Sus scrofa: one gene and its partners. The protein of the gene in region 3 interacts with the protein of the main gene of each other region in a pairwise test. Links are inferred from orthologs where the notes say so. Each region holds a gene or a part of one and is shown on either strand. Other genes may lie near its edges.

What was found.
Region 1: the proteins of CDC42EP2 (region 3) and CASS4 interact in binary tests that used the Homo sapiens proteins (3 or more experiments, as listed by UniProt). The link is inferred for Sus scrofa from reciprocal best matches to the Homo sapiens genes CDC42EP2 and CASS4.
Region 2: the proteins of CDC42EP2 (region 3) and ARHGAP26 interact in binary tests that used the Homo sapiens proteins (3 or more experiments, as listed by UniProt). The two-hybrid records come from large-scale screens. The link is inferred for Sus scrofa from reciprocal best matches to the Homo sapiens genes CDC42EP2 and ARHGAP26.

What each region holds. Positions count from the first base shown.
Region 1 is NC_010459.5:57,021,149-57,030,779, reverse strand, and holds part of CASS4 (cas scaffolding protein family member 4), read right to left. Parts: intron 9,532-9,631; coding exon 9,430-9,531; intron 6,600-9,429; coding exon 6,519-6,599; intron 5,479-6,518; coding exon 4,168-5,478; intron 2,723-4,167; coding exon 2,645-2,722; intron 639-2,644; coding exon 228-638; 3' UTR 1-227. UniProt on the Homo sapiens protein: Docking protein that plays a role in tyrosine kinase-based signaling related to cell adhesion and cell spreading. Regulates PTK2/FAK1 activity, focal adhesion integrity, and cell spreading.
Region 2 is NC_010444.4:144,469,343-144,478,973, reverse strand, and holds part of ARHGAP26 (rho GTPase-activating protein 26), read right to left. Parts: intron 5,388-9,631; coding exon 5,283-5,387; intron 3,870-5,282; coding exon 3,740-3,869; intron 1-3,739. UniProt on the Homo sapiens protein: GTPase-activating protein for RHOA and CDC42. Facilitates mitochondrial quality control by promoting Parkin-mediated recruitment of autophagosomes to damaged mitochondria.
Region 3 is NC_010444.4:6,898,730-6,909,100, reverse strand, and holds the start of CDC42EP2 (cdc42 effector protein 2), read left to right. Parts: upstream 1-5,060; 5' UTR 5,061-5,630; intron 5,631-6,266; exon of another isoform or gene 6,267-6,309; intron 6,310-10,168; 5' UTR 10,169-10,371. UniProt on the Homo sapiens protein: Probably involved in the organization of the actin cytoskeleton. May act downstream of CDC42 to induce actin filament assembly leading to cell shape changes. Induces pseudopodia formation in fibroblasts in a CDC42-dependent manner.

The DNA of each region.
Region 1 (9,631 bases), on a different chromosome or scaffold from region 3:
GTGCTACAAACTTAGCAAGGTCTTTGCTTAACACCTGACTCGTTTCCCTGACTCTGTGGGATGAAGCCAGGGTCCTGGGGTTGCATGGCTGCTTGGTGATACTGGTTCTGGCTGTTGCCACCTGCTGTGTGCGTCCCCAGTCTGGCTTTTCCCGTAGGACAGCCTTGCAGGTTGTTGGTGTGCCTTGGAAGCCGAGGGGTTGCCCGGGGAAGGAGGGGAGGGGAGGCTCATTCCAAGGTCCCTCTGAATTGCTGCGTGTGCTGCTCCAGCTTCCTGGCCTCAGCCTGGAGATGGCCCAGGGCTGCGGGGCTTGGGTACTCCAGCACGGCGTGCTTGGTGGCCAGCGCCAGGTTCCTGAGCAGGCTGCAGAGGTGGCTGCTGCCACAGAGGATCTCGTTGCGAAAGTCCCTCTCCTGGGTCTCCTTGCAGAGCGTGTCCACCAGCTTCTGCCCCACCATGATGATCAGCTTGCTCTGCGTGATGAAGGTCTCGGGGGGCTGCCTGTTGCTGAGGCTGCCGTTCAACACGCCGATGGCTTTCAGCAGCGCCCCAAAGTAGAGCCGGCAGTGTTCCGAGAGGTGGATTCTCTTCTCGGGATTCTGCTGGCTCAAAGGCCGGGGGATCAGGGAGCCTGGATTCTAGAGAAGAGGTTAAAAAAAAAAAACGATAAGAGAGAGATTTGATCGACAGGCTGTGGTTGCCTCCCTTTTCCTGTTTTTGCTCAATTAGCTAGACTTTTTATGAGAAAGAGGACTGTTTTGTTTAGAAGTCTCGCTGTGCCACATTTGCCTAACAAAGGAACATGAATGTCTTCAAACACTGTTATGTATAAATCATTTCATATCTACATAATCATATACGACATTACATATAATCATACATATTATATACATGTAAAATCTCACTCAGTCCTCTCGACAAACCATTAGAAACCCATCCTAAGAAACTCATAGACAATGACTAAATTCATAACTTTAAAAAAAATGCAGGAGTTCCCGTCGTGGCGCAGTGGTTAACGAATCTGACTAGGAACCATGAGGTTGCGGGTTTGATCCCTGGCCTTGCTCAGTGGGTTAAGGATCTGGCGTTGCCGTGAGCTGTGGTGTAGGTCAAAGACACGGCTCAGATCCCACGTTGCTGTGGCTCTGGCTTAGGCCCGTGACTATGGCTCCCATTAGACCCCTAGCCTGGGAATCTCCATATGCCGCGGAAGTGGCCCTAGAAAAGACAAAAAAAAAAAAAAAAAAAATGCAGAAAACTTGATGGCGAGATTTTAAAATTTACTCAAAGAACGGATTTTAAAGCTTTTTTTTTTTTTTTTTTTTTTTTTTTTTGTCTTTTTGCTATTTCTTAGGCTGCTCCCGTGGCATATGGAGGTTCCCAGGCTAGGGGTCTAATTGGAGCTGTAGTCTCTGGCCTACACCAGAGCCACAGCAACGCGGGATCCGAGCCGCATCTGCAACCTACACCACAGCTCACGGCAACGCCAGATTGTTAACCCACTGAGCAAGGGCAGGGACCGAACCCGCAACCTCATGGTTCCTAGTCGGATTCGTTAACCACTGCACCATGACGGGAACTCCCTTAAAGCATTTTTAAAATCCTTCCTGGAGTTCCTGCCATGGTGCAGGGGGTTAAGAATCTGACTTCAGTGGCTCAGGTCACTGTGGAGGCAGGGATTCGATCCTCAGCCTGCGTGGGTTGGGATCCCACGTTGCCACATTCGGGGCTTGGATTCAATCCCCGGCCCAGGAACTTCCAAAAGCCACGGATGCGGCCTTAAAAAAAAAAAAAAAAAAATCCTTCCTAATTCTAGTATTAGAGGTAAACCTGAAAACCCCACATTTTCAGAAGAAATCAAAATAAACCGACCTATCTGCTTTAATATTAAACTATTCATCTTACGCACTAAAAAAGTTTCATTTAGAATTTGCTTTCATGAATTTTATTTTCTGGAATGTGGAACCAAAGCCTGTGCACTAGCGAAAGAGTCTCAGCATCTAACTTAGTGGCAACCATCCCAGGTAACAATCAAAAGCCCTTTTGGGGAGTTCCCTTGCGGCTCAGTGGGTTAAGGATCTGGCATTTTCACTTCTGTAGCTCTGGTCATAGCTGTGGCACAGGTTTGATCCCTAGCCTGGGAACTTCCGCATGCCACTGGTGCAGCCAAAAAAACCCCAAACAACAACAAAAAAACCCAAAGTCCTTTCGTTAGGTTATAGCTAAGGACACTGAGGTGCCTGAAGAGAAAAGCCTGCCTCGGGTCACTCAGTTAGCAAAATGAAGATGTGGAGCTTTTAGCCTAGCCAGCAGGTCTGAAACATTCTTTCTATTAAACTGTGCATGCTGGAGTTCCCGTCGTGGTGAAGTGGAAGTGAATCCAACTAGGAACCACGAGGTTTTGGGTTCGATCCCTCGCCCAGTGGGTTAAGGATTCGGCGTTGCCATGAGCTGTGGTGTGGGTCACAGACGTGGCTCAGATCCCACATTGCTGTGGCTGTGGCGTAGGCTGGCAGCTACAGCTGATTAGACCCCTAGCATGGGAACTTCATATGCTTCCAGAGTGGCCCTAAAAGGAAGAAAAAAACTAAAAGTATTAGAGAGTGAATACTAAAAGTATTAGAGAGTAAAAGTCATTGCTTACCTGTGTTTCTAAGTCTTTCTTTTCATCCACCCTTTGTTCCAAGATGGGTTTTTCTTTCTCTTCTAGGTGAGGCAACTTCTGAAAAATAAAATCCCTTCGAATTACCAACTAGAATGGTCTTTACACAACTGCGTAGCTGGTTACGTCCACTTTATTTATTTATTTATTTATTTATTTATTTATTTATTTATTTATCTATTGTCTTTTTGCCTTTTCTAGGGCCGCTCCCGCGGCATATGGAGGTTCCCAGGCTAGGGGTCGAATCGGAGCTGTAGCCGCCGGCCTACACCAGAGCCACATCAACGAGGGACCTGAGCTGCATCTGCGACCTACACCACAGCTCGTGGCAACGCTGGATCCTTAACCCACTGAGCAAGGGCAGGGACCAAACCCGCAACCTCATGGTTCGTTAACCACTGCGCCACGACGGGAACTCCTGGTTACGTCCACTTTAAGCGCCCTGCATCCTCCTTGTGTTTTTGTTAATAGTTCTGCCTTATTGATGCTTTTTCCCAACAAGGGCAACCTTGACAGCCTGAGCACTGAATTTTGCCTACCAGCATGGCCCAATAAAATGACACACAGTTTAAACGGGAAATGAAAAACATCCAGATGTCCCGCTTCTCCAGAGGGTGTTAAAGCCCTTGTGGATTTCCCGCTATGCCGCAGTGGGATCGGTGGCATCTTGGGAGCACCGGGACACGGGTTCGATCCCCAGCCTGGTACAGTGGGTTGAAGATCCAGCTTAGGTCTCTGATCCCTGGCCTGCGAACTTCCATATGAGGAGGGGCTGGGAAAAAAAAACAAAAACAAAAACAAAAAAACCTTTGCCCTGCTAGGCCTATCAGCAGAAAACTAAGACTTGGAGCTGCAAGTTACCTCCCTGACACAACCCCCAAGTTACCTGCTGTACCTCTTGAGACTTTCAATTCTTTCTTTTTTTCCCCTTTTTTTAAAGATTTATATTTTTATTATAGTTGATTTACAAGGTCCTGTCACTTGCAATTCTTGAACTACGGGTTTCTTTCCACCATGTCTAAACACCGGGAGCCAAGTATTTCTGAGAGTAACTCGTGTCTGGAGACTGCCGGGACGACCCACAATCTGGAAGGGTTTCCACTCCCTCTTCTGTTTCTAAGAAACACACTGACAATGACTAAATTTACAGCTTTCCAAAATGCAAGGAAACTGGATGGTGAGATTAAAATTTCTGCTCAAAGAACAAATTTCAAAAGATTTCCCAAAGCCTTTCTAATCCTAGCATCAGAAGGCAGCCTGAAACCCTCAAATTTCTAGAAGGCATCCTCTACCTTAATATTAAAAAAAAAAAAGTGTCTTACTTCTTAATAAGATGGCATCTAGGATTTTACTTTCATGAATCTTAGCTTCCAGAAACTGGCACCCCTGTCTCTCTAAAGATGGGACCACTCTTGACAGGTTCTCAGCAGGGAACTTACTGGTGACCCCTCCAGATAAAAATGGGCCACCCCCTTAGAGGATCCCAGTCGGAACTTTGCACTCACCTGTCCACAGGCATTCGTCTTATTTTTCTCTATTAGTTCAGGAGGCTGTTCACTTGCCCTTTGTTTCTGAAAAGGAGCCTTCCTCTGGTATGATTCGCCCTCCTTTTGGGGCAGCTGGATGCGTCTCGCAAGCTTAAATTCTGCATTTGGGGTCCACTGCACAGGCTCTTCCTTCTCACAGTTTGGCTTGAAAAGGAGCCTGCCGTTGGCGATGACGATGGAGGCGAACCTCTTGATGTCTTCAGGGACCGTCCGGGCCACCAGGACAAACCTCTCCAGGTCGTCCGGGCTGTTTTGGACTTTGTCAGTTGCAAGGACTTCCAGGGACCAGCCGCAGCTCTCCAGGCGCTCCTTCGTTTCTAGCAGGATTTGGTAGGCGTTGGCGATTGTCTGTAGCTGATCCCTAATCTTGGTCTGAAGGTTACTGTCGGTGAGGTTGCCCGCGGTCCCACGGACTCCGTGGGCGAAATCCAGAAATTCTCTCAAGGACTCCTCTATGCGGTCAGTGGCCCTGCGGATGGCGTCGATGTTGGCCTCCAGAGAGTCTCTGAATCTCCACTTCCTACTGACAAAGTGCATCAGGCTGGACACAGAGCTGGCCACCTTGTGCTGCAGAGCCGTGACCGTCTCTTTGGCCGAGTCCAGGTCCAAGGGGAGCTCTTTGGCTGCCTCTTCCGAGAAGGAGCTGGAGGAGGAGTCGGTGGACGTGGAGGAGCAGGAGGAAAGGACACTGGCTCTGCTGTCAGAACTGGAGACGGAGATGCTGTCGGGTTCGGGAGAGAGCGATGCTGCCCGGCTGCAGAACCACGAGGAACTGTGGTCCACGGAATTCTCTGACGGCCCGCCGGCTTTTCCCAGCTCTTTCCCCGCCTGGGGAACATCTGGCATTGCTCTGGGGACGTCATAAATGTTGGGCGTGGTGTTCTGCTGTTCCACTCGGGGGATCAGAAAGCTCGAAGGGACCTTATAGCTGACACTTTCATCCAAAGGGAACATGCACTTGGGCGGCGGGAAGCTGTAACAAGGAATTTCTGGAAGGCTGAGTTTTTTCTGCATGGGACCATTTTTCTGCGGGTGTGGAGGGTGGGACCTTGCGATGCTGTTGGGAGGGCTGTGGAAACTGGACATGTACCTGGGGAGGCCGCGGTGCCCTAATTCTTCCCCAGAGTTGGCCAGCGATGCCTTTTGAACACCAGCCTTTTCCAGAGACACCGGCGTGTCATAGATCCATTCCGATTTCTGAGGGTTTGGTAGCGTGTTGCAGCCGCCCCTCCTTAAGGCAGTGGCTGATGTCAGAGGAACATTCTGCCCCTGTGAAGAACCACAGAGTCACGCAGTTTAAGAGCAAGGCAAAGAGGGTGTGGGCGACTGGTGTGACCAGTGTGCATTATACTGAGGACCCACTAAGCACTGGGCACTGGGCTTCTTAAAAGTCTGATTATCACTCCCCTGCTCATGCTCCTTCACTCAAGCCCTTCCCTGTCTGCCACCAGCCCCCTTTGGAGCCTCTTTGCCACTGCTTCTGCCACCACTCCTGCCACCAACCTCCTTAAAGGTCCAGCCACCCAGGCTGCTTGCCTTTCCTTGAGCTCAAGAATGTCTTCTTATATCACTACATTTAATTTTGCCCAATCTGTGACTCTTTTTTTTTTTTTTTGGTGGGGGGGGAAAACGCCCATGGCACACGAAGGTTCCCAGGCCAGGGATCAAACCCAAACCACAGCAGTGACCTGAGCCATAGCAGTGACAATGCCGGATCCTTAACCCACCGAGCCACCAGGGAACTCCCTAATTTTGCCCAAACTGGTTCCTCTGCCCCAAATGTCCTCCTAACCCCTTGCTGTCCATGTACCAAACTCCTATGCATTCCTGTGACACTGTTGGGATGCCACCTTGGGCACAGGTATGTTTTTATTGTATACATGTGACAGAATCCGTCAATACACATGGCTTACAGATTTCGAATTAAGGCACCTCCCTGATATACAAATAAAAACCCACTTTAATGCAACACGTCTCCAAGATGTGTTATGATCATAAGAAGCACTTATCTAAAGTCTACTGAGCTCTTGCTCTGTGCCAAGCACTGTACTGGGTCCTTTGCAGGAATTAGGTCAATATCCCCAATAAACCTGGAATAAGAAACTGAGGCATCTGGAAATGATGGAAAAAATATATCCAAACCACACAGCTTGTCCTGTTGCATAACCACTGCAGTTATGGGTTTTGCCTCCAGTGAAGTAAGTTCTGCTCGGAGGGAGCTGCCGTCTTAATGCTGACCAAGTTAATTACATTTCCCAGGGGCGGTTCAGGTTTGCAGAGCACCCGCTCTCAGCATCTGTCATACTTACATTTGCTTGGCTGCTCAGGGGACCGAGGGTGGCCTTTTGGCGGCTGGGGGGTATGTCATAGAGCTGCTGCTTCCCTGGTTCCTGGGGAAAGACCACACAGGAGGACAACTTAGATTTTTCCTTCCTGATGGCTGCACATCACAAACTCTCTCCAGTCCAGCATTGCTTCTGCTCCCCCCACCGCAATGAAAACACAAATCAAGAGTTCCCTTGTGGCCCAGCAGGTTAAGGGTTTGGTGTTGCTACTGTGGCAGCTGGGGTCGCTGCTCTGTCATGGGTTTGATCCCTGGCTGGAGAACTTCCACATGTTGCAGGTGCAGCCAAAAAAAAAAAAAAAACAAAAACAAAAAAAACCCACAAATCACTGAAGACTTTGAGGCTTTCAGTCATGATGTTTGGATGGCGGAATTATGTGCTGCACTGGGTGTATTTCCAACCTGCACCACAGCAGTGACCCAAGCCACTGCAGTGACAACAATGGATCCTTAACCCACTGCTCCACAAGAGAACTCCTGTCTTTTTTTTTTTTTTTCTGCATTTTTGCCTTTTCTAGGGCCACTCCCGCGGCATATGGAGGTTCCCAGGCTAGGGGTCGAATCGGAGCTGTAGCTGCCAGCCTACGCCAGAGCCACAGCAACGCGGGATCCGAGCCACGTCTGTGACCTACATCACAGCTCATGGCAACGCTGGATCCTAAACCCACTGAGCAAGGGCAGGGACCAAACCCGAAACCTCATGGTTCCTAGTCGGATTCGTTAACCACTGCGCCATGACGGGAACTCCTGAAAATATTTATTGAATGCGGGTGAATTACTAGACACTGAGCCGAATGACGTATACATGCCTATTAATGAGCAAAAGACATGACACCTATGATGCCAGTACACATAATAGGCATTTTTTTTTTGGTCTTTTTAGGGCCGCACTCACAGCATATGGAAGTTCCCAGACTAGGGGTCAAATTTGGAGCTGCAGCTACCAGCCTATGACAGAGCCACAGCCACAGCAACGCCAGATCTGAGCTGCATTTGCAACCGACCCCACAGCTCAGGGCAATGCTGGATCCTTAACCCACTGATTGAGGCCAGGGATGGAACCCACATCCTCATGGATTTTTTACCACTGAGCTACGATGGGAACGCATCCACATAATAGGCATTTTGTGTGTGTGCAGCAATGAGGAACTATATGCATTAGGATGTGAAAAATAGGCTACACATTCAAAGCGAGCTGAGAGCACCAAAACAGATTTTACAAAGGAAGAGAAAAAGCAGGAATTTAAAGAGGGGGTTTCTTGGGTGGGAGGTGGGCTGTGCGTCTCCTGCTGTGCCCTCCTCAGTGTGGGAAGGAAGAAACTCTTTTCACTGCCTTTGGGCAGAGTGGACAGTGCCCACCAGGACCTTCTGTGACTGAAGTTGTGCCACCTGAGCTTGGGGTCAGAGTGCACCAGGTCTAACCCTGCTGAGACAAGTGACAGGTGAGCTCCTCCATCCTTGTGGCAGGAGCCCAGGCGCCACACACGAGCCGAGAGGCAGGACCTTTCGCTCAAAGGTAGTAGGAAGGTTGGGCACTGCCTGGATGAGACCTGCAAACTCCTCCACTGAGACTTCCGACCCGCAAGTGACCAGGAAGTCACAGAGGCAGCCTGAATTTTCACCGAGACTAGAGCCATGGATCTTGGCCCTGACTGCGTTCAAGATCCACCTGGGACCTTTAATTCCTGCTGCCCAGGGCCCACCCAGCCCTCAGACATCAGTGTCTCCGGGGGTGGTTCCAGGAAGCAGGCCTGGTTAAAGCACCCAGGCCACTCCAATGCGCAGAGCTGGACAGGGCAGCCTGCAGCCACAGGGCAGTTTTGATGGGCTGAGAAATGAGGCAGGGTTTTTTTCTGATTACATGAAGCATTATCTTACAAAATCAAAGTACCAGTGATATTCAAATAAGTTAAAAAAAAAACCCCTAAAATTTCCTCCCCCAGAGATAATCAATGTTAAGACAACCAATGACAACGTTAAGACTGTGATATATATCATTCATATTATTACTTTTAAAAAGTGCAGATACATATATTTGTATATATGCGTATAGGTAGATACATAAGCTATAAAGTATCTACTATAGGGCGCGCCCCTTGTGGCTCAGTGGTAATGAACCTGACTAATATCCATGAGGACCCGGGTTCAATCCCTGGCCTTGATCATTCAGTTAAGGATCTGGCATGGCTGTGGCTGTGGCTGTGGTGTAGGCTGGCAGCTACAGCTCCGATTCAACCCCTAGCCTGGGAACTTCCGTATGCTGTAGGTGCAGCCCTAAAAAGCAAAAAAATAAATACATAAAAAAGTATCTATTACAAGTGAAGTAAAGTTAATTTTTTTTTTTTTTAGGCAAAAAACAGATTTATTAGGATGGAACACTTGTAAGAGATGCAAGCAGGCAGGCATGGAAGCTCTGCCAGTAAAAATTTTTTAAAGTAAAATTTTTTGGAGTTCCTGCCATGGCGAAGTGGGTTAAGAATCTAGCTGCAGCTGCAGTTACAGAGGTGTGGGTTTGATCCCTGGCCCAGAGCAGTGGGTTGAAGGATCTGGCGTTGCTACAGCTGCTGTGTAGGTCACAGCTGCAGCTCCAATTTAGCTTCTGGCCTGGGAACTTCCATGCTGAGGGTATATGGGAAAAAAAAAGTAAAAAAATTTTTAAAATGCTCAAAATGCCAATAACTGTAACATTCTCCTGAGCAGGTCTGGGCTCCCCGGGCACAAAGCCGGCTTCTGAGTGATGATATGACCTTGGGAGTCACGACTGGCTCCGGATCTCCCAGCAGTAAAGCTGAAATGCAGGGCAGCATGATGCTGAGACCCCACCATTTGGATGGAGAGGCCTGGGTGGGGGGAGGGCAGTCACAGATGGGGCTCACCTTTGAGGCTGGGGGGCACCGGCTCTGGGCGGGTACATCATACACCTGGCAAGGCAGAGCTGGCAACGAGGTCCGAGCAGCCCTGGGAATCGTGAAGATGGCCTTGGGGACAGAAAGAAGACACAGGGAAAGAAACATCACTACTGAGTCCACGGATGAGGAGACAGCGGAGGCAGCCGGCAAGTCCTCCAGGACCTGTAAC
Region 2 (9,631 bases), about 140 Mb from region 3:
TGAGCGAGGAAGAACTCAGACGCCTCCAAGGGCTTGTCACCGTCCCCATCTGGTGCGATGACATCATGCTTCCCACACAGCCGCGCTGCGACCATGTACACAGAGAGACAGGGGTTCTGACCGACTTCCAAACCTCTAATTTTTACTTTAGCAGAGCTCAAGAAGATCTGAAAAGCAGACAAGGAAAACTCAGACACCAGACATGTGGACCGGAAGTAACTATAAATACTCAAATGTAATCTAAGGAGTGTGTCCCTCAGAATTATCCCTTGGGAAAAATGCCCTACGGTCAAATTCTAACAGCCTCTGATTTCGCCTGGTGCCTGGCCAGTTACTGTATTTTGAACAATAAATACTATTAGAGAAAGGCCGCATGACTGGCATTATTAGCCTGCAAGGACCTCAATCTATACAAGTCCTGATGCTGACAGCGATCACAGGGCAGATATGGTTATAAAACAATACTAACATGAAAAGAGATGAAGACGACATTTAATAGGTATTTTTCAGGGTGTTAAAGCCCAATGCGAGTGCTGGATGTCGCTCAGTAGATCTAAAAAGCAACTGCCTAAGTGTCTACACTGCAGCATCAGGGACAAATGAAGATACAGCATGCTACCGTCTTTTTGTGGCTGAAAGAGTGAATTCCAGTGACAGCACAAAGACTCCCAAAGTACTGTAGCCTGAACACCTTGCCAACGTGATAAATAATGACAGTAATGGATTTAGCCTAAGGAAGACAAATGGGAACCTCTAAGTCCATGCTGACAAGAGAAAAAAGGATGGATAGAAAGAATAAAAGAAAGGGAAGAAGGGAGGCAGGGAGGAAGAGGGGGATGATTCTTTACCCGACACTGAAAGTCAACTAAGAAACGGGGAGAGTGGGGCAAAGCCGGGCGATCGTCATTGTGCAGCCAGCACAGTCAAGCTCAGCTCAGTCAGGGCTGCCAAGGATGCTAACGCCACGGCGGGCAACGTCTGACGAAGGAAGGACCCAGGCTGAGGGCGTCTCCCCAGACTGTTCATCAGTTACAAGGGAAACACAGCTACTGCCCAGTGGGAAAAGCAGACGGTGCCTTGACGGAGGGAGGCAACTCCACCAGACCAGGGAGGGCAGAGGGCCAGCCTTCCCTCCAGATGTGGTACCCAGGAAGAACACGGCAGGACTCAGGTAGGCTTTGGCCGGAGATGGAGGACCTGAATCCAATCATGGGGAAACACGAGACAAACCCACAAAGAACAAAATTCTATAAAAGAATCGGCCTTATATTCTTCCAAGACGTCAGGCATCTCAGACAAGAAAAATCTGCGGAACTGTTTTCCATTAAAGGAGGCTGACGCTGCCATAAGATAACCAATTGCTGTATAAGAGCGTGTACTGGAGGAAAACCAATGCTTTGTGAGAGCATCCCTGGGGGAGTTCCCATGGTGGCTCAGAGGAAACGGACCCAACTAGTATCTGTGAGGACGTAGGTTGGATCCTGGCCCTGCTCAGTGGGTTCAAGGATCTAGCGTTGCTGGGAGCTGTGGTGTAGGCTGCAGATGTGGCTCGGATCTGGTGCAGGCAGGGAGCTGTAGCTCTGATTCGACCCCTAGCCTGGAACTTCCACATGCAGCCCTAAAAAAGCCAAAAAAAAAAAAAAGCAAGCATCACTGGGACACCTGACAAAAATAGGAATGTGGAATGTCATTTCTTTTTTTTTTTTTTTTTTCTTTTCTTTGGACCGCACCCAAGGCACACGGAAGTTCCTAGGCCAGGGATCGAATCTGAGCCACTGTCGCAACCTATGCCACAGCTGTGGCAACACCAGATCTCTCACCCACTGCACCACAGAGCAAACTCCTGGAACATCATTTAGATTAAATATCTTATCAATGCTACATTTCCCGGATGCGTAACTGTGGTTACATAAAGGAACAGTTTGAGAAAATACACACTGAAGTCAAGGAGTGTGATGGATCCAACCTGTTCCCACAAGGCTCAGAAAAAAATTACACTGTGTGTGTGTGATATGCACACATTCTTACAAAGAGAGAAAAATTGTCTAACTGTGGGAAAATGGTAAAAAAAAAAAAAAAAAGTGGATCCAGGTCATATGGTTGTTCTTTACACTATCCTTGAAACTTTTCTGTAAATGTGAGATGATTTCAAAATGGTAAGTTACCAACATGTCCATACAAAGAGCCGTATCCCAACGATGTGCTCTAGACGCCTGTGTTAGAGCATCAAAATGCAGCCCTAACGGCATTCAAGACATCGATGCTGGAAGAGCATGAATAAAACGGCATCAGGTAAAGTGAGTGCCCACACGGACTTCACATGCAAGTGACCAATATTAGTAAGTTCATTATTACAGGTGGACCCTGGACTGGATTTTTATAGCCCTAAAAAATTTTATTTTCAAGTCGACTTAAAAAAAACGTTTGGGGTTGATCTTCTCACTGGGCAAAGAAGACAATCACCATCTACTCAAGAATAACACACAACTAAAGTAGCTGCTATGCCTCACAGACCTTCACAAGCTCATATCTGTAAGAATGAGGGACATCAAAGTCTCATCACAACTGATGCTCCAACCTCCAATGCCCTTATGGACCGCTGACACCAGGGACCAATTTCAAGCCCAAGCCCAAATTTTTGAGTAATCCCTAAATAGGAGAGTCCCCGAAACGAAGTGTTTTATTCCATGAGGACGCTTCTGGGGTGAAGATCTTTGACTAATCCCAAAACAGCAGCGCCCGGCCAGCAGGCGCAGGTGGGAGATGACCAGGAGAACTATCTATTAGAGAAAACCAGGGCATTTTCTTTCATCTCTAGCACCTGGCGCATGAGTTAAGTCTGGGAAGTGCCACAGCCCAGCACGCGAATCTAAGCCATCACTGCAAACCCCGGGCTGGCAGCACCTCGCAGTTCGTTCTTTGACGTCCTATGGGCAAGTCAAGGGAGCACCTCCCTGGCTCTTGAAGTGAGCTTTTGTGTCTACTGTGCATAAAATTTAAGTGTGGGGATGACGGGAGTTGAGGCGAGGAAGGCAAGGGCCTAGGTCATGATTGTTTGGGTCTTGATGAAACAAGTCTCAAATAAAAATAAAATCACCAGGGAGCTCTCGTCGAGGCTCAGAGGGTTACGAACCCAACCAGTATCCATGAGGATGCAGGTTCAATCCCTGGCCTCGCTCAGCAAGTTAAGGATACAGCACTGCCATGAGCTGTGGTGTAGGTCACAGAGGCACTCAGACCTCACGTTGCTGTGCCCATGGTGTAGACCAGCAGCTGTAGCTCCGATTCAACCCCTAGCCTGGGAACTTCCATAAGCTGTGGGTGCAGTCCTAAAAAAATAGAGAGACAGAGAGATAGACAGACAGACAAATAAAATCACCAACTGCTAAGTCTACCAAAGGATAGGACAAAACAGTCCAGCATGCCAGCCCTTTCCAAGGCCTCTCTGCCAAGGATGAGGCAGATAAAGCTAAACTGAGGGTACAGAGTGGAGTGACACCAGGGAGAGAGGGAGCACCACAGAGCCTCAGTGATTTCCAGGCTGCAAAATTCCCGGGGACAAGAAAACAGAGCACGCCGCGTGGAGGGAGGCAAGCCCTTGGAATGGCATCTCTCCCGGAGGAAACCGACTTATAACAGGACCCCCCTCTTCCTTCCAAGGATGTCCCCCAGGCCAGGCACGAATGGACACACCCTCCCGCTCCTGGGCAAGGGGCCGCCGGCCGAGCCCGGCACTCACGTTTCTCCTGGACGTAGAGGTACCCTTCCATGGTGTAGGGACTGATGGTCTTGTGCTCGAGGGGATTCTCCTTCATCTTCCTCATCAGCGATTCCACTTCCGACCTGGTGCCTTCAAAGCGGTTTCTTGTCTAGGATGAGAGGCGTTTTCATTCAAATCCAAGCCATGAACCCATGTTCCCCTCTCTAGCGCTTTGGAGCATCAGCCCACAGAATCCCCAGATCTAAACCCAGGCGGGGAACATGCAGCCGTCTAGGCATGTGGCAAATGTCCACTTTTAAGAAGGAGACGCTGGTCTTCAAGTCCCATCCTGGAATGACCCTCAAACTCTGGTGGGCACCATGGAAACCACCTGCAGAACTGGCAGAAAATGCAAGCGGCCAGTCCTCACCCCAGAGATCAATTTAGGGCCTCTCAACCCAGAAAGGTGCTTTTGCACCAAGCATCCCGGGCAACTCCAACTGAGCCGTTACACAGGGGGGCCTGCCCTCCTCCTCTTTCAGGACCCAGATGCCCTTTCTCCACCTGTTTGCTGATGGCTCCCTCCTCAAATGGAGCTTCTTGGCTCAATCGCTCCCGCCCCCGGGCAGCCTAGAAACAGGCAAAGCCAAGGGCCATAAGGGGGGGGGGGGGGACCATCCCAGCGCCAGGAGGCCCATGGCCACAACTGAGGCCTCTCCACAACCAGCTCGCCGCTCAGCTTCTGCCCTCCTCCCTCGCTTCTTGCAAACCCTGCTTCCTGTGCACCCGCTTCGTGTAAACCTCCGCTCGAGGGTTTGCCTTCGGAGGAGCCCGCCCAAGGGGAAGCCACGCTTAGTGGAAGCTCCTCCGGGACTCTGCAGCTTCCTGTTCCCAGAGGCGACACAGAGAACCAGGAGGGGGCAAGGTGGGCCTCCGAAAGCACACGGCCCACCCCCAGGGACGCACCTGGACCCCATGCAGCCTCATGGGGCCCCGTCACCCAGTGAGGAGGGGATGGAGCCCGTGACTGCTGGCCAGAGTCCTGAGCAGGGCTCTGTGCACCCACAGGTCCTGCTGTTTAAAACCGGGCAGAGGAGACAGGGCACAAGGCGCACTGATTTGGGTTTCCTGGCAGCCTCGCCGAGAGGCGAACGGAGCGCATCCTTGAAGCCAGAGGCCAGCGTGTGTGCCCCACGCCCAGGCCCTGGACACGCTCTCTGAGGTGTGTGTGGCCCGGAGCTCGATGTGCAGGAGGGAGGCTGGGCTGGGCAGGGCTGGGCCTCTCACTGCCAAAGGAAATTCTGACTCTGGCGCTACAGCTTTAAACACAATCGGCAGCAGCACTTCCGGGAACATAAATAGCGCTCTGAAATAATGGGGGGGGGATGACGCTCCCCCCGGGACCACCACGCACCCTGGAAAGGCCCGCCCCGCTGCCCGTGGAAACCAAGCAAGACGCAAGACCCACCCCCTACCCCCACCTGCATGTCGGTCTGTTTAAGGGATCTCTGCCGCCAGACTCCTGGGGTGTTTTTTCCTTTCCTTAACCAGGGAAGGCAGGCCTGGCCCCTCAGCCACTCACGTTCTGGATGCTGATCGTCAACTGCGTCTTGAAGTCACTGAAGTCCTTGGCCAGCTCATACCCATGGTGATAGAAGGTGAAGAGGCCTTGCAGGAAAGCCAGTAGCTGCAATGAAGGCAGAAGGACAGGGCTCACATAAGCGGGTTCAAGAGGTTCTACGGAGCTGACCTGAGTTCCCAGCCCTGGTGTGAGTTGAGAATAAAGGAACGATAACAGCTATCGTTTACAAAGCGCTTCTTAAACGCCAGGCACGGGAACGTCACATGCTGTGTCTCACTGCACATTCATGACAACCTATGAAATGAAAACTACGGTTTGCTCCATTGGAATGATAACGAAGTAGATCCAGAGAGGTTAAGTAACTTGCCCCAAAACACACAGTAAGTGGCAGCCAGGATTTAAAGCCACGTCTCCTTGGCAACAACACCCAACAAGCTCTTACCCTGAGAGCCTCGCCCCTTCTAAGAAAATCACTTCCTCAGAAACCGAAGACCAGGGCTCCAACGCGGTCAGTCTCCTTCTGGTGTATTCATAACACCAGGTTCTCATACCAAAGGGCGTAGTTACATTGATAACCCACAAGGGAGGGAGGAAAAAGGAAGCTGGAGCGTCCTGAGCAAGCAGAGTCGAACAGGCAAAGCAGATCAAAGACAATTATCCATGTTGGACGTCAGCTCAAGTGTGTTTCTGCACTTTCCCTAAACTATGCAAAAGCGAACACTCTGGATCCCTTTGTTACAATAACCCCGTGGTCCCAGGTTTCCCGTTAAGGTGCTTTAGCCTCAGGGCCAAAGGTGAGTCCACTCCCTGTTTGGTCTTGTCTTCCGTGAAGAGTGCAAGCATCTGCTCACCCCCATTCTCACAATACACCTTCGGATACTTAAAAACCCTTCCCGTCCCACCCCGGGCCCCTGCCAGCCTTCTCTTCTCCAAGCCAACTAAACGTCCTTGCGGTCTCTCCTCCCCGTGCCCGGGCTGTCCTCCCGGTGCCTGTGTGGAAACCTCACTGGTGCCTCCCCTGCCAGGCCTCCTAAGTGCTACACAGTTTGTCTCGGTCCCAAATCTCCACCTAAAGGAAGGAAGACGATTAAAGCCTGAACAAGGCTTGAAGACCCAGAACCTTCGCTTTCTGACAAGCCCAGTTCTACCACATGTGAGGACTTGGCCCCACGGGCACTTGAACTTCTCAAGGCCAACTCGCATCATCTGCGTGGAGCCCTCTGCGCTGCCTCAAACACGTGTGACCTCAAGACGCAGCTGCTTCGCTTTATGTTGGGGTGTTTCTCTTGCTAGCCCCTCAATGAAGGTGCCTTTACTTTGTGAACATAGGCTCACAAAGTTTCGCCTCTAACCCAGCTCTCCCAAGAAGCAGGGCTAATCACAGCCGTGACAGGTCCGCACACTCGGCTGTGGCAGGAATGGTGAAAGCACCGAGGCACCTGCTCCCCCAGCGGAGCCCAGAGGAGAGAGCGGTCTTCCGACAAAGCCACAGGCCCAGCCCACTTTATCAAAGAGGGTCTGCATTGCGAAGTTGGACCACACCCCGCTTCAAACCAGACGGTCCCCTGACTTCCTGCTGCCACTGGCTCTGGAGTGAGTGTCTGTTCCCTAAGAGCCTCAAAGGCATTGCTGGGTCCTCCGGCTATAAAAGCACCGGGTGGCATCACCGATGCATCCCTAACCTACATCAAGGAACCAAAGCCACAGACAGGCACCAAAGACCAGGCGTGAACTCTCTCCTTCAAAGTCTTTGGACGTCTTCTCTGTAAAGGACACTTTTGAGCACAAGGCCCATATTCTGCCTTCCAAATGGCTCAGCCATGGACAAGAAGTGGCTCTTCTGCCACATCTAGGGGCCGGCAGTCACAAGGACAACCGTCCTTTCTCTCTCTCCCCCCCGTTGTCCCTGGAGGCCGTGCCCTGTCACCTTCCCAAGGCACTGAGTCACCCTCGACGGAAGAATAATGCGGAAGATAAGTCACTCCTCCTATTAACTCCTGGCGTGTCCCTCACTCACAGTCAGCAGGGCCTCCCACTCGGGTAATTCGCTGTCTCACGAAGATGCCACCTGGGCGTGCACCCGAGCGCTCCAGAGGCAGAGCGTGGTGAGTATTTATTTGGGTTTTCACTTCCTTTGGTATCAGGCCCGATTGTCCACTTTCCTACGGGAAGTGATGCCTTCGGGGTTGTCATCTTTGGCCCACCCCCCTTCCTGCTCCCCTCAAAGCATCTTTCCTCTCTGCCCCCACCTCCTGACACTCACCCCCTCCACAGTGTATGAAGCTTTGAATGCGGGAAATCAAAGCCCACAGCTCAGGGGGCGGGGCAAGGCCCAGAGAAGGACCCCGCGACCAAGGACCTGTCTGCCTCAGAGAAACGCCTCTGCTCGTACCCCCGGAGAAGCGCTTGCTGATTCTCACCTGGCTGTCAGGTAAGAGAAGCCAGTACGTCCCCCGGCTTCCTCCCCCGACAGCAGACCAAGGAAACAAGGACAGAGAGGTCTTCCCACCTCGCCTGGCCTTCTTCCTTTCCCATCCTTGTTGTCCTCTGAGCACAACTGGAAGAAAAATCTCTCTCCTATTTCCTAGATGATAACACAGATGTTTAAAATAATCATAAACACAAACATAACTGCTTTCTTCGTGGTGGCTGCATCACTCTGGACTATCTGACAAATTTAGGTTTCCGTGCATAGAACAGAGCTACTGCTATGGGCTGTATTGGGTCCCCTATGCTCCCAAAGATAGGAAGTCATGAGCCCCAGTATTTCGGAATGTGACGTCACGTGGAAACAGGGTCTGTACAGCGGCAATCAAGTTAGCATAAACCCAGTAGGCCCTAACCAAAGCCAATCGGTCCTTAAAATGGGGTGGGGGGCGGGATTGGACAGAGCCACAAACACAGAGAGAGGACAGTCCAGTGAGGATGAGGACTGAAACGGTGCCTCGGTCAAGCGAGGGATGCTGACCACCGCTGACCAGCCACCAGGAGCTAGGAAGACGGAAGGAGAGATTCTTTCTTTACAGGTTTCAGGGGAGGCAAGGGCCCCGCTGACCTTGACCTCAGACTTCCAGCCTCTAGAGCTATGGCCTAATGTATCTCCGTTGTGCTGAGGCACCCAGCTCGTGGTGCTTTGTTACAGCAGCCAGAGCAGCTACCAGAACCCAGCTGTTCACACAGCAAAGAGAAGGCGGCAGCCAGCGTGGGGAGGAAGAGCTGGCCAGGGTCGCCAGGCAGCTCCCTAGACCTTCCTTTGCACCTGTTCCTCCGTGGGGTGTGGGAAAGACAGAGCATCTCTGTGACGGGTTTAGGCCAGGAGTGCTGGCCGGAGCTGCTGGGCAAGACAGCGAGCCTCAGGGGGACATGTCGGCAGAGACGCTGTGGGGACAGTGTCAGGACAGGATGCCACTGACCCAAGAGAAAGAATGACAGCCTGCAGCGGGGCAGAAGCATTGAGAAAGGACAGAAAAGCAGACATCCAGAAGCATTCAGGAGGCAAAACTCAGCTTGTGGAGCCTGACGAATGTGGAGCAAGCTCTCGGCAGCTCTAGGTAACCTTCAGTTAGGAACACTCAGGGAACAGACCGAACGCGGCTTTATCTTCAGGAAGCCACTGTGTCATTAAGTGCAATGCCCATCTCCAGAACATTTACTTTCTCGACAAGAAAATGAAGGTTTCCAGGGCCCCAAACACCCGAAGTCTGATTCCTCTTCCTTGGCACACTAAAATTGTGTTTCTTTTTTCTGCAAGGCAACCACATCCTGGTACCTGAAGTCACTTTCTAAAAAGCAGCTGAACAGAGCCAATGTACTTGGAGGTTCCCTGAACAGCTGGACGGTTCCCTTGACTGCACCCCAACATGTGAAAACCCGCACCAGGCACCCCGCAATTTAGGTCACTTGATTTCTTGCTGGATTCCTTTCCACTTGTAAGAAGCCACATGATGTTTCATAGAGATGAAGGGACAAACCATTACAGCTCTGCCGCTGACGAGATGTGACCTTGGAGAAGAAATAAATGCACTTCCATTTCTTTATCTGAAAACAAAGACAGGACCTACCCCCAGAGATAAGGACAGAACCACCTACTGTGGGTAAAGCGCTTATTAGCTTATTACTAACACAGAACGGGACCGGTTTCGGCTGATACCCTCGACTCTTACTTCTTGTCCTTGTGGGCAATTCAGGTCAGTGGAGCAGAATTGCCAGGAGGGCTCAGGACCGGGCCCCACCCCCACATTTCAAGTCTAGGGTAGAGCCTGAGAATTGGGGTTTCCTTAGAAACTTCGAGAAACACTGAGCTGGCCAGGAGCTGCTTCTTCTCCCCGGTCCACAGCTCCGGCCACTCC
Region 3 (10,371 bases):
AGCTGATCGAGGGGGTGGCGACTGGGCCTATCTCAGCGCCAAGGCGAGGCTTCGGGCTGAAGGGGAGGAATTTGAATCCCTGATTCCCGGCAGGTCTCCATCCAACCTTCCTTGCCTCTGACCTCTCCCGAATGTCTCTTGGGGTCCTACTCACTCAGACACCAAGGTGTCCAGGAGCCGTTCCAGCGAGAACAGCCCACGCCCTGGCTGAAGCATTGGACCCTGGAAGTGGGGTCAGGCTGGGTGGGGCACTTGGCCTGAGCATCTATTGGGTCAGAAATGCAGGCTCTCCCGTGGCTCAGAATCCCAGTCTCCCATCCACGCTTAGGCCTTTACACACGGCCTGAGAAGTAGCGTTAAAGAGCCAATTTTAGGAGTTCCCGCTGTGGCACAGTGGGTTAAGGATCCGGCATTGTCTCTGCGGCAGTGCAGTTTTCATCCCAGGCCCAGTGCAGTGGGTTAAGGATCTGATGTGCCACACCTATGGCATAGGTTGCAGCTGTGACTCGGATTCCATCCCAGGCCTGGGAGCTTCCAAGTGCGGGGGGGAGGAGCCAGTATTAATAAATGAAATTCTGTTTTATAAATGCTCATTACTTGCAAGGCTTCCATGACAACCGTGGGTGTGTCCGCAAAGATCCCATCCATTCAACAAAGCTAAGAGCAGCCAGCAGCAGGCTCCCTAGGGATCGCTCAGGCCCGGCCAAGTGACACAGTGGCATCTGTGAATGGGGAGAATGACCCGCCTACCTGAGAGCTTACAGAGCGCAGAACTCACCGCCAAGCAGAAATCAGGCTTTGCATGTGGGCATGGTAGGGCCAGAGCTCTGGGTGAGGGCAGGAGTACACACGCAGCAGGAGAAACCAGCACTGGACGGAGCCATGTCACATCCAGGTGGGCTTTAAAAGGTCCCCATGGCATAGATGGTGGTTCCTATGGCTCTGGGCCCTGTTTGAGGGCCCTGGTCTGACAGCCAGGCTGGACAGATTCCTAGTCACCGAGGGAGGGGTCCAGAGGTTGGGTCAGGCTTGGGAGCCGAATCTGTTGCCCATCCCCCAATGCTCAATCTACCTCCCCCTCCCACCCCGCCACCCCCACCCCAACTCTGCAGTTGGTCAAATTGGAGCTGCAGCTGCTGGCCTACACCTCGGCCACAGCAACACAGGATCCAAGTCGTGTCAGAGACCTGCGCCACAGCTCAGAGCAACGCCGGACACTTGATCGGGCCAGGGATCGAACCTGTGTCCTCATGGATACTGGCTGGTTTCGTTGCCACTGAGCCACAACAGGAACTCCCTGGTTCCTGGCTTTGAGTGGCCTTGGATGAGTGTCTTTGCCTCTCCAAGCTTTCATCTCTGTCACTGGTTTGTAATCAGCCCCAAATGGAGCTCCTGATTTTCCCCGAGTTTCCTCCCCCAACAGAGGACACTGGGTGGATGGGCAGAGGTGGGGGCTGCACCTCAGCCTTGTTCCCACGGGTTCAGGGGAGTCTTTATAAAAGTCCTCTTTTCGGAGTTCCCGTCGTGGCTCAGTGGTTAACGAATCCGACTAGGAACCATGAGATTTCGGGTTCCATCCCTGCCCTTCCTCAGTGGGTTAACGATCCGGCGTTGCCGTGAGCTGTGTAGGGTGTAGGGTTGGATCCCGCTTTGCTGTGGCTCTGGCGTAGGCAGGTGGCTGCAGCTCCGATTTGACCCCTAGCCTGGGAACCTCCATATGCCGTGGGAGTGGCCCTAGAAAAGGCAAAAAAAGACCAAAAAAAAAAGTCCCTTTTTCATCCTCAGACTCATTCCAGGTCAGGTGGCAAGGCCAGCTGCCGTCCCCCAGTCACTCCTTGAATAATATTTCCATGAAACTGCTGCCTGCAGGGACAGTGTGTTCCAGTCAACAAAACAAGTTCAAGTCCCTTAGCTTGTTGGGGACGCATGTCATTCCCTTGTTACAGGCAAGGAGGCTCAGAAAGGGACAGTCCTTTTTTTGCCTGTGGCCACAGACTAAGTTAGCAGCAAAGCCAACTCATAACCTGGGGCTTGGGGCTTGGCACTGTGCTGTCCCCGCAACCTGGCTGTGTTGTGAGAGGAGGGGGCAGGGACAATGGTGGAGTGAGAAGCCTGAGCAGGGAGGAGGGCCCAGAGCCAGCCCATCTTGCCACTTCCAGGCTGAGCGGATCACCATCAGTGGCCTGAGCTTTGGTGTCCATTTCTGAAAAGGGGGGTAGTGACACTGACTCTGCCCATCTCACTGGCTCTCAAAGGATTTGAGGAGCTCAGGACAAGAGACCCTTGGTAAGGGGCACAGGTAGGCCTGGGCAGGGGGGTGCATGGCAGAGCCTGGGTGGCAGAAAAGGGAAGAGACACAACCCTTACCCACTCAGCCCACAACTTGGCCCAGGGCCCCTTTCTTTGCTGTCCAGGCCTCAGGTTTCCTCTGAACCTCTAGGGTAGTCCTGGCAGAACCCACCTGACTTGGAGTTCCCGTTGTGGCTCAGCGGGTTAAGAACCCAGCTAGGAGTTCCCATTGCGGCGCAGCAGAAATGAATCCCACTAGGAACCATGAGGTTGCGAGTCTGATTCCTGGCCTCACTCAGTGGATTAAGGATCCGGCGCTGCCATGAGCTGTGGCGTAGGTCACAGACATGGCTCAGATCCTGCGTTGCTGTGGCTGTGGGGTAGGCTGGCAGCTGTAGCTCTGATTCGACCCCTAGCCTGGGGACCTCCATGTGCCATGGGTGTGGCCCTAAAAAGCAAAACAAACAAACAAAAAGAACCCAACTACTATCCATGAGGACTCGGGATCTATCCCTGGCCTCACTCAGTGGGTTAAGGATCCGGAATTGCAGAGAGCTAGGGTGCAGGTTGCAGAGGCGGCTTGGATTTGGCGTGGCTGTGGCTGTGGCCGGCAGTTGCAGCTCCAATTCAACCCCTAGCCTGGGAACTTCCAGATGCTGCAGAAGATACCCTCAAAACCAAAAAAAGAATACACGTGACTGAGTTGAAGGAGGGGCCAGGAAGGTTCAAGGTTAAAATCTGAAACTTTCCGGAGTTCCTGTCATGGCTCAGTGGTTCACGGATCTGTCTAGAAATGATGAGGTTGTGGGTTCGATCCCTGGCCTTGCTCAGTGGGTTCAGGATCCGGTGTTGCTGTGAGCTGTAGGGTAGGTCACAGACGCGGCTCAGATCCCATGTTGCTGTGGCTCTGGCCGAGGCCGGTGGCTACAGCTCCAATTACACCCCTAGCCTGGGAGCCTCCACATGCCGTGGGAGCGGCCCTAGAAAAGGAAAAAAAAAAAAATCTGAAACTTCTCTGTATTCGTTTTCTGCTGCTGCTGTAGAAAATCACCACAAACTTGGCAGCTTAAAACAATACAAATGTATTAACTTACAGCTCTGTGGGTTGGGAGTCCAACCTGAATCTAAAATCAAGAAGTCAGCAGGGCTGTGTTCCTTCTGGAGGCTCTAGGGCAGAGTCTGTTTCCTGGTCTTTTCCAGCTTCTAGAGGCTGCCCGCATTCCTTTGTTTGTGGCCCCTTCCTCCACCTTCAAAGACAGGACATCTCTTTTTTCTTTTTTTTTTTTTTTTTTTTTTGGTCTTTTGTCATTGTTGTTGTTGTTGTTGCTATTTCTTGGGCCGCTCCCGCGGCATATGGAGGTTCCCAGGCTAGGGGTTGAATCGGAGCTGTAGCCACCAGCCTACGCCAGAGCCACAGCAACGAGGGATCCGAGCCGCGTCTGCAACCTACACCACAGCTCACGGCAACGCCGGATCATTAACGCACTGAGCAAGGGCAGGGACCAAACCCGCAACCTCATGGTTCCTAGTCGGATTCGTTAACCACTGCGCCACAACGGGAACTCCAGGACATCTCTTTTTTTGACTCTCCTGCCTCCCTCTTCTACCTTTAAGGACCATTGTTATTACACTGGGCCCGTTCAGACAGTTCAGGATAATCTCTCTAGTTTAGGAGTTCCTGCCATGGCACAGTGGTTAACGAATCCGACTAGGAACCATGAGGTTGCGGGTTCAATCCCTGGCCTTGCTCAGTGGGTTAGGGATCTGGTGTTGCCATGTGCTGTGGTGTAGGTCACAGATGCGGCTCGGGTCCTACATTGCTGTGGCTCTGGCGTAGGCTGGTGGCTACAGCTCTGATTCAACTCCTAGCCTGGGAACCTCCATGTGCCGTGGGAATCGGCCCTAGAAAAGGGGGAAAAAAAAAACTCTCTAGTTTAGAGCCAGTTGAGGAGTTCCCACTGGGGCACAGTGGTTTAAGGATCTGGCATTGACTATGGCAGCTCCAATTTGACCCCTGGCAGGGAACTTCCATATGCCTAGAGTATGGCCGAAAAAAGTAAATAAAGAAAGTAAAGTCAGTTGATTTGTAACTGTAATTGCATGGGCAACCTCAGTTATTATTTTCTATGTAACAAAACTCTGTATTTACAGGTCCCAGAGACTAGGACCGGGACATCTCTGGGGGGGGGCTATCACTCTGCCTACCTGACTCCCTTTCTCCTGATCTTTTCCTCCCCCCCAACTTGGCTGACCCCCACCCCCACCCCCAGCATCCTTCCTCCTTCAGGATGCCTTCCTGACCCTCTCTCCCTAAGAGCCCCTCCCACACGTACAGGATGTACCATCCTGGTCGCAGTGTACTGTCACAGCTGTCACCCGCTCTTCCTAGCACTTGCTCACCTGGCAGAGTATCACTGTGTACTTGGGGACCGGGGCTTCCTCCATCTCCCTTCATTGGACAGTAGGTCCCAGACCAGAGGGGCTGAATCCCCAGCGACAAGAACAGTGTCTGACACTTAATGGATGCCCCCAAAGTATCTGCTCAATCGCTGAACCGGGCAAGGGCTGAGTTCCCTTCAGCCTGCCTGGGTAGGGCCTGCCTTCCAGTAAATGTTTCTAGTAACGAATGAATGAATAAATGAACCAACCAACCTTCCAGCCAATCAACCAACGTTGTAATGAGTCCAAGTGTGGGTCCCACCCCCGCCCCGGAAGCCATCTAGCCGGTTGACAAATATGGGTGTGGCCAGGCCACTCTGCAGGTCCACCCGCAATGCCCCCTTTTCCAGGGAGGGGCAAAACTCCTGAAAGCTCTTGGAAGTTTGTAATATTTTAACGTGAGTGCCTTCGAGGCCTCATTTATTTCTTTAGGAGTCACTGAAGACACTGTGCGGGCGCCTCCCCGACCCAGCCCTCCAGGGAGGGAACTCGTCCAAGGACGCTCTGTGAATTCTGCAGAATTCAGTCTTCCAGCTGCTGCCCTCCCAGAACCGATAGTTTTAGCTCCGACCCGCACAGCCGGAGTTCGAGGAATCCAGTCCGGGCATCGGACGCAGTCTGGCTCGCAGCCGTCAGAGTTTGGACCGGACGCCCGGGCGGGCGTGGCTGTTGGACCCCAGCGCCGCGCCTCCCAAGTGGGAGCCCAGGCTCGCCCCGGAGTGGGGCGGGGCTGTGGGCGGGACCTGATTGCTGCGGCCCCCGCATTGGCTCCACGGATAGGGGGCGGGGCTTCAGGGGCCACGGTGCGCACTGTAAGTTCACAGCCCTAGTCGGTCCCATCGCCGCACGGTCCAGCTCCGGAGATTTTGCCGCCCACCCGTCCGCCGCCTGCGCGCCTCCAGGTGAGTTCAGGTGGGGACTGTGTAGTCCGACCGCGCTCCTGGAGGGTCACTCGAGAGGCCCATCCTGAGGCGCCCTATCGCAGCTCGCGCCCCAGCCCCCGACTTACCTCCACAAGGTCCTTACCCCAGTGCCTCGGGCTCCAAGGTGTTTCTCACCCGAGCCTCGGTCCTGGCAGCCACGCCCGCGCCCCCCTCGGCCTGCGGGGCGCTGCGCATCCCGAACACGAACTCCTGGATCCGCCCTCCACGCTGCGCCAGAGCCCCCGCCCCACCCCCAGGACCCGGGAATGCCCTCCCGCAGCCCAGCTTGGGGTCGTATTTTTAGCCAATGGTGAGGTGTCCTCCTATCTTTAGCCTTAGCCGCGAGTGTCCTGAAACGAATCCGGGCTGAGCTGGGCTGCGCGGGAGAAAGAGGGCGGGGAGGGGTCGGCTCCGGAACCCGAGCTGGGGCTGAGGAGCCCGACCCGCGGAAGCCAGGGGCGTGGGCCGCATGTCCGAGCTCTGGCCCCGCGCCGAGCGGACACTCGGACATCGCCCAAGCTGGAAAGCACGGGGGAGGCTCCTCCCTGAGTTTGGATACCCGGGCAGCGTCCCTGATCGCTCCTTTTCTCCCCTATTGTCTGGTTGTGAGACTAGGGCGCTCCCAAGAGAAGAAGATCCCGCGGACTATCCGCACCTGGTTAGCGAATGTGCAGCTCCTTGGGAGGGAGCTTGCCGGGAGCGCTAGAAGCGCTGGGGACCCCGGTGCGCAAAGGGTCTCCTCCCGGACGCGGGGCAGTAGAGGGAGCGCGCGCGCGCGCCACCTAGTGGCCACGGACCCGAGAACCGCTCCGCCTAGGGACGCTGGGAGACCTCGTGGCCAGCAGGGGAGACTCAGCGCCGACCGACCCTTCCGCCCAGGGGCTGTTCATTTTCGGTCTTGTTTGGAGCGCTGTCCCCAGAGAACCAAAATACTTGAGGAAGCCCTACAGCTATTTGCTGGATAAATAACGGGGCTGACAGTGACCCGCTAACCCTGTCTGTCGCCCATCGGGGCTCTCTCTCACTTGCAGTATGACAGTAGGGTCCCTGGTGTTGGCTTTATTGTCATCCCATTTCATAGATGAGGAAGGTGAGGCCCGGAGAGGAAGGGTCTTGCCCAAGGTTAGAGCGAGTCCTAGGTAGAGATAGATTCAAGGTCAGTCTCCTGATTTGAAGGTCAGAGGTTGGCTTTATTGGCATCCCTGGTGGGGAGTGGCCTAACATTCTTTGTGAAAGGAGAGGCTCTACCTTCAGGAAGTCATTTTCTCTAAAGGAGGCCCAGGGATCCTTCCAGAACAAGCCCACAAAGCTGGGATGGCTCCCTTCTGCTCCTCCCAAAGCTGCAGGGAGCCACCTGTCCCAACACCCCTCTCACTAAGCCTTGTCCTGACAGAGACCTCATTCCCATTTCTCTGCATGCTAGCAAGTTGAGAGAGGGGGCGGCCAAGAGGTAGGAGTTAAATGGTGGTGGCCAGGGATCCAGCGGCCCCGGCCCAGCTGGGAGCCTTTTTCTCTCCTGCTCCCCGTGCAGCTTGCAGATGTTGGCATGGCTCACTGTATCAGAGCCATTGGGACCTAGCTAGGTATCAATGCCCACTCTTCCTCTTACTAGCTGGATGACATTAATAAAGTTACTTAATGTCTCTGAGATTCAGCTTCTGCCTCTGCAGAGGCCAATAATTGCACCCACTATGCTGTGTCTGGGAGCGTTATGATGGAAACCATACTAGGGGAGCTGCAGCCTGGGGTCTGGTGGTTGCTAAATCCGAATTGAATCCTTGGGGCTTGATGATTGCAATTCCCAGCTCTCCCCTGGTGGTTGACAGGGGCCCAACCCTTCCCCCCAGCCTCAGTGCTCTCCACATCTGGAATTGGGTGGGTACATCTGGCTCAGAGCGAGGGAGCTGTCAGGGACGCCAGATCTGTTGTGGAAACACTCAGGCTGTCTTGGCGCCCTTGTAGGATGGAGGGGGGGAAGGCCTGGCCCAAGTTCTGGGCAAATCCCACCACTCAGCCGCCCTCTCCGGGAGTAGAAAGGAAAGAAAAGCTAGCCCAGGACTCCTCGCCTGCCAAGGGGCCAGATAGGCCCCTAGACCTGGCGTGGGGGACACAGATAATTATCTGTTAGATAAATGAATGATGGGATTCCAAGACCTCAGAGCACTCCTGGCCTCCCCCCACCTTCCCCAGCTCCTTCCAAACTTAGCTGGAATTCTGCCACCGGAGACTCATTCTTTTGTTTCCTGTTAAGCTGCAGGTGCTCTGGGAGGGGCAAGATGTCTGGTCTCTGTGGTTCAGCATGACTGACCCGGGATGTCTGGTCCTGGGGTGGGGTTTCCTGAGTGAGGGTCTGGGCTGGGGTGGGAGAGGGAGAGCAGCTGGGACTCTGCCTCTCCTGCATCCTCCTTCCTGCTCCCTCCTGCCCACCCCTCTCACTGCTCAGAATGAAGGATGGGGCAGAGGAACTAGCAGAGGCCTCCCCTCTCCTGCTCCACCTTTCCCCAGCCACTTCCCACCTGCTCAGCCCCAGCCCCCTGGGGTAGGTGGGCTCACCTGGACACCTGCTGGGTGACCTTGGACAAGTTTCTTTGCCTTTTGTGCTCTGATTCTACTATGGGGCCAATCCCCCACCATGGGAACCAGAGGGAGTGCTTGCCTCACTTCCTTTTTCTGTTAAACCCATATGACACCCCTCCAGAGTGTATTTATTTTTTCCACATTAAAAATATCTTTATTTTTTTCTGATTCCGTGAATAACATGCGCTCATAAATAATGCATGCTTCTGGATTTCCCACTGTACAGCAGATCTGGCACTGCCATAGCTATGGCATAGGTCACAAGCGCAGCTGGAATTCGAACCCTGGCCCACTCTGTCACGGATGCAGCCAAGAAATAATAATGACAATAATAATAATAATACCTGCTTCTTATTAAGACTTGGAGTTTACAGGGAGTTCTCTGGTGGTCTAGTGGTTAGGATGAGATGCTTTCACCACTATGGCCCAGGTTTGATCTCAGGTCTGGGAACTGAGATCCCGCATGAAGCCGCTGCACTCTGTGGCCAAAAAAAAATTAAAAAAGAATTTCAGCTTACAAAAGTATGCACAAAAAGGGAAAGTCGCCTGGAATTCTACCACCTTGAAGGAAACACCATCAATGTTTTGGCAACTGTCCTTTCATATTTAACTTACATATATCATTTTTTTTAGTAATGGGACCAGATATTAAAGATATATACACACATATATATATGTATATATATATATTTTTTTTAGGCCCACACCTGTGGCATATGGAGGTTCCCAGGCTAGGGATCGAACAGGAGCTACAGCTACCAGCCTACGCCACAGCCACGGCAACGCCAGATCTGAGCCACGTCTGCGACCTACACCACAGCTCATGGCAACGCCGGATCTTTAACCCACTGAGTGAGGCCAGGGTTTGAACCCGCAATCTCATGGTTCCTAGTTGGATTCTTTTCCGCTGCGCCAGATCGGGACCTCCAGAGATATTATTTATTGAGGACAACTTTCCTCCCATGTCACTGACCCCACACCCCATCCCTGCCCCCCTCCGCAGTCTAGGAGGCATGTATGACAACTTCATGCTGGCCTTCTGTCTTCTTCTCAGTTCCTGTATAAGATATGATCCTATACATCCCTACATGTAGATACACATATATGCATGTGCAGGGAGGGGAGCTGGTCAATGCTTTCAACAAATGGAATCTTCTAGACTACATTTTTGCATTTTGCTTCTCTCCTTCTGCAATGCCTTGTGGGAATCCCTCCAAAATGTCTGATAGCTCTAGTTTTAGAATGGGAATGACAAGAGGGTGGCTGTAATGATGAAATTAGACGTGTTGGCAAAGAACTCAGCAAAATTCAGGCACACAGAGCCCCCACCCCCTCAATATTTGTAACCCTTAGGTGCTAGGGCAGGGGGGAGGGGCAGAAATGACAATAAACTCAGCCCTTGTCCATAAGGCACCCCTAAGCCAGAGGAGAAGAAAAGCAGAAACCCTGAGCAGGTGACCTCACTTCCGCGTAGGATGTGATTGGGCCAAACAGGAGGTGTCTGTCCTCAGGTGCAGTCGGCTGAACACCTGCTGCGAGTCTGGCTCCGTGCCAGGCCTGGGCGGGCAAGACAGGTTGCAAGATCGCCATCCTCCACCAGCTTTGAGACCCCCCAGACAATTTGGCACCAGTCATGCCCTGGGCTCAGTTGAGTGCAAGAGGGATGAGCACCCATGCGACCGTGATGAGCGGAGCTGGGGACTCAGGGCGAGAGACCAGGGCCAGGGCCTTGTGTGTGACTTCAGCCCTGTCACCCAGGTTCTCCACCTGCAGAGGGAGGGCTTGACGCTGGTGATCCAGGCCTTGCGCGCAGTAAGTCTGTGAGGCTCCTGCCGGAGGGGCTTCCCACAGGAGTGCAGCCCCACGTGGGTTCCTGGGGCTGATAAAGGGACCTCTGCCTTTTGTCATCCTGTCCCTGACTTGTACCCTTGGTGTTTCAGCTCCTCGGCCCTGAACCCCGAGAGCATCACGGCCTCCAAGCTCTGTACCTTCCTGCTCCCAGTTTTCAGAAGAGTTTTCAACCCTTTTGGGAGGCAGGGATTTTTGCTGTCTTTACCTTGGACTTCATCGATCGTTGATCTTTTCTGAATTCCTGGGGTCACCTTTGGTTACACCCCACACGCTAGTCTTGGCCCCTTGGCGG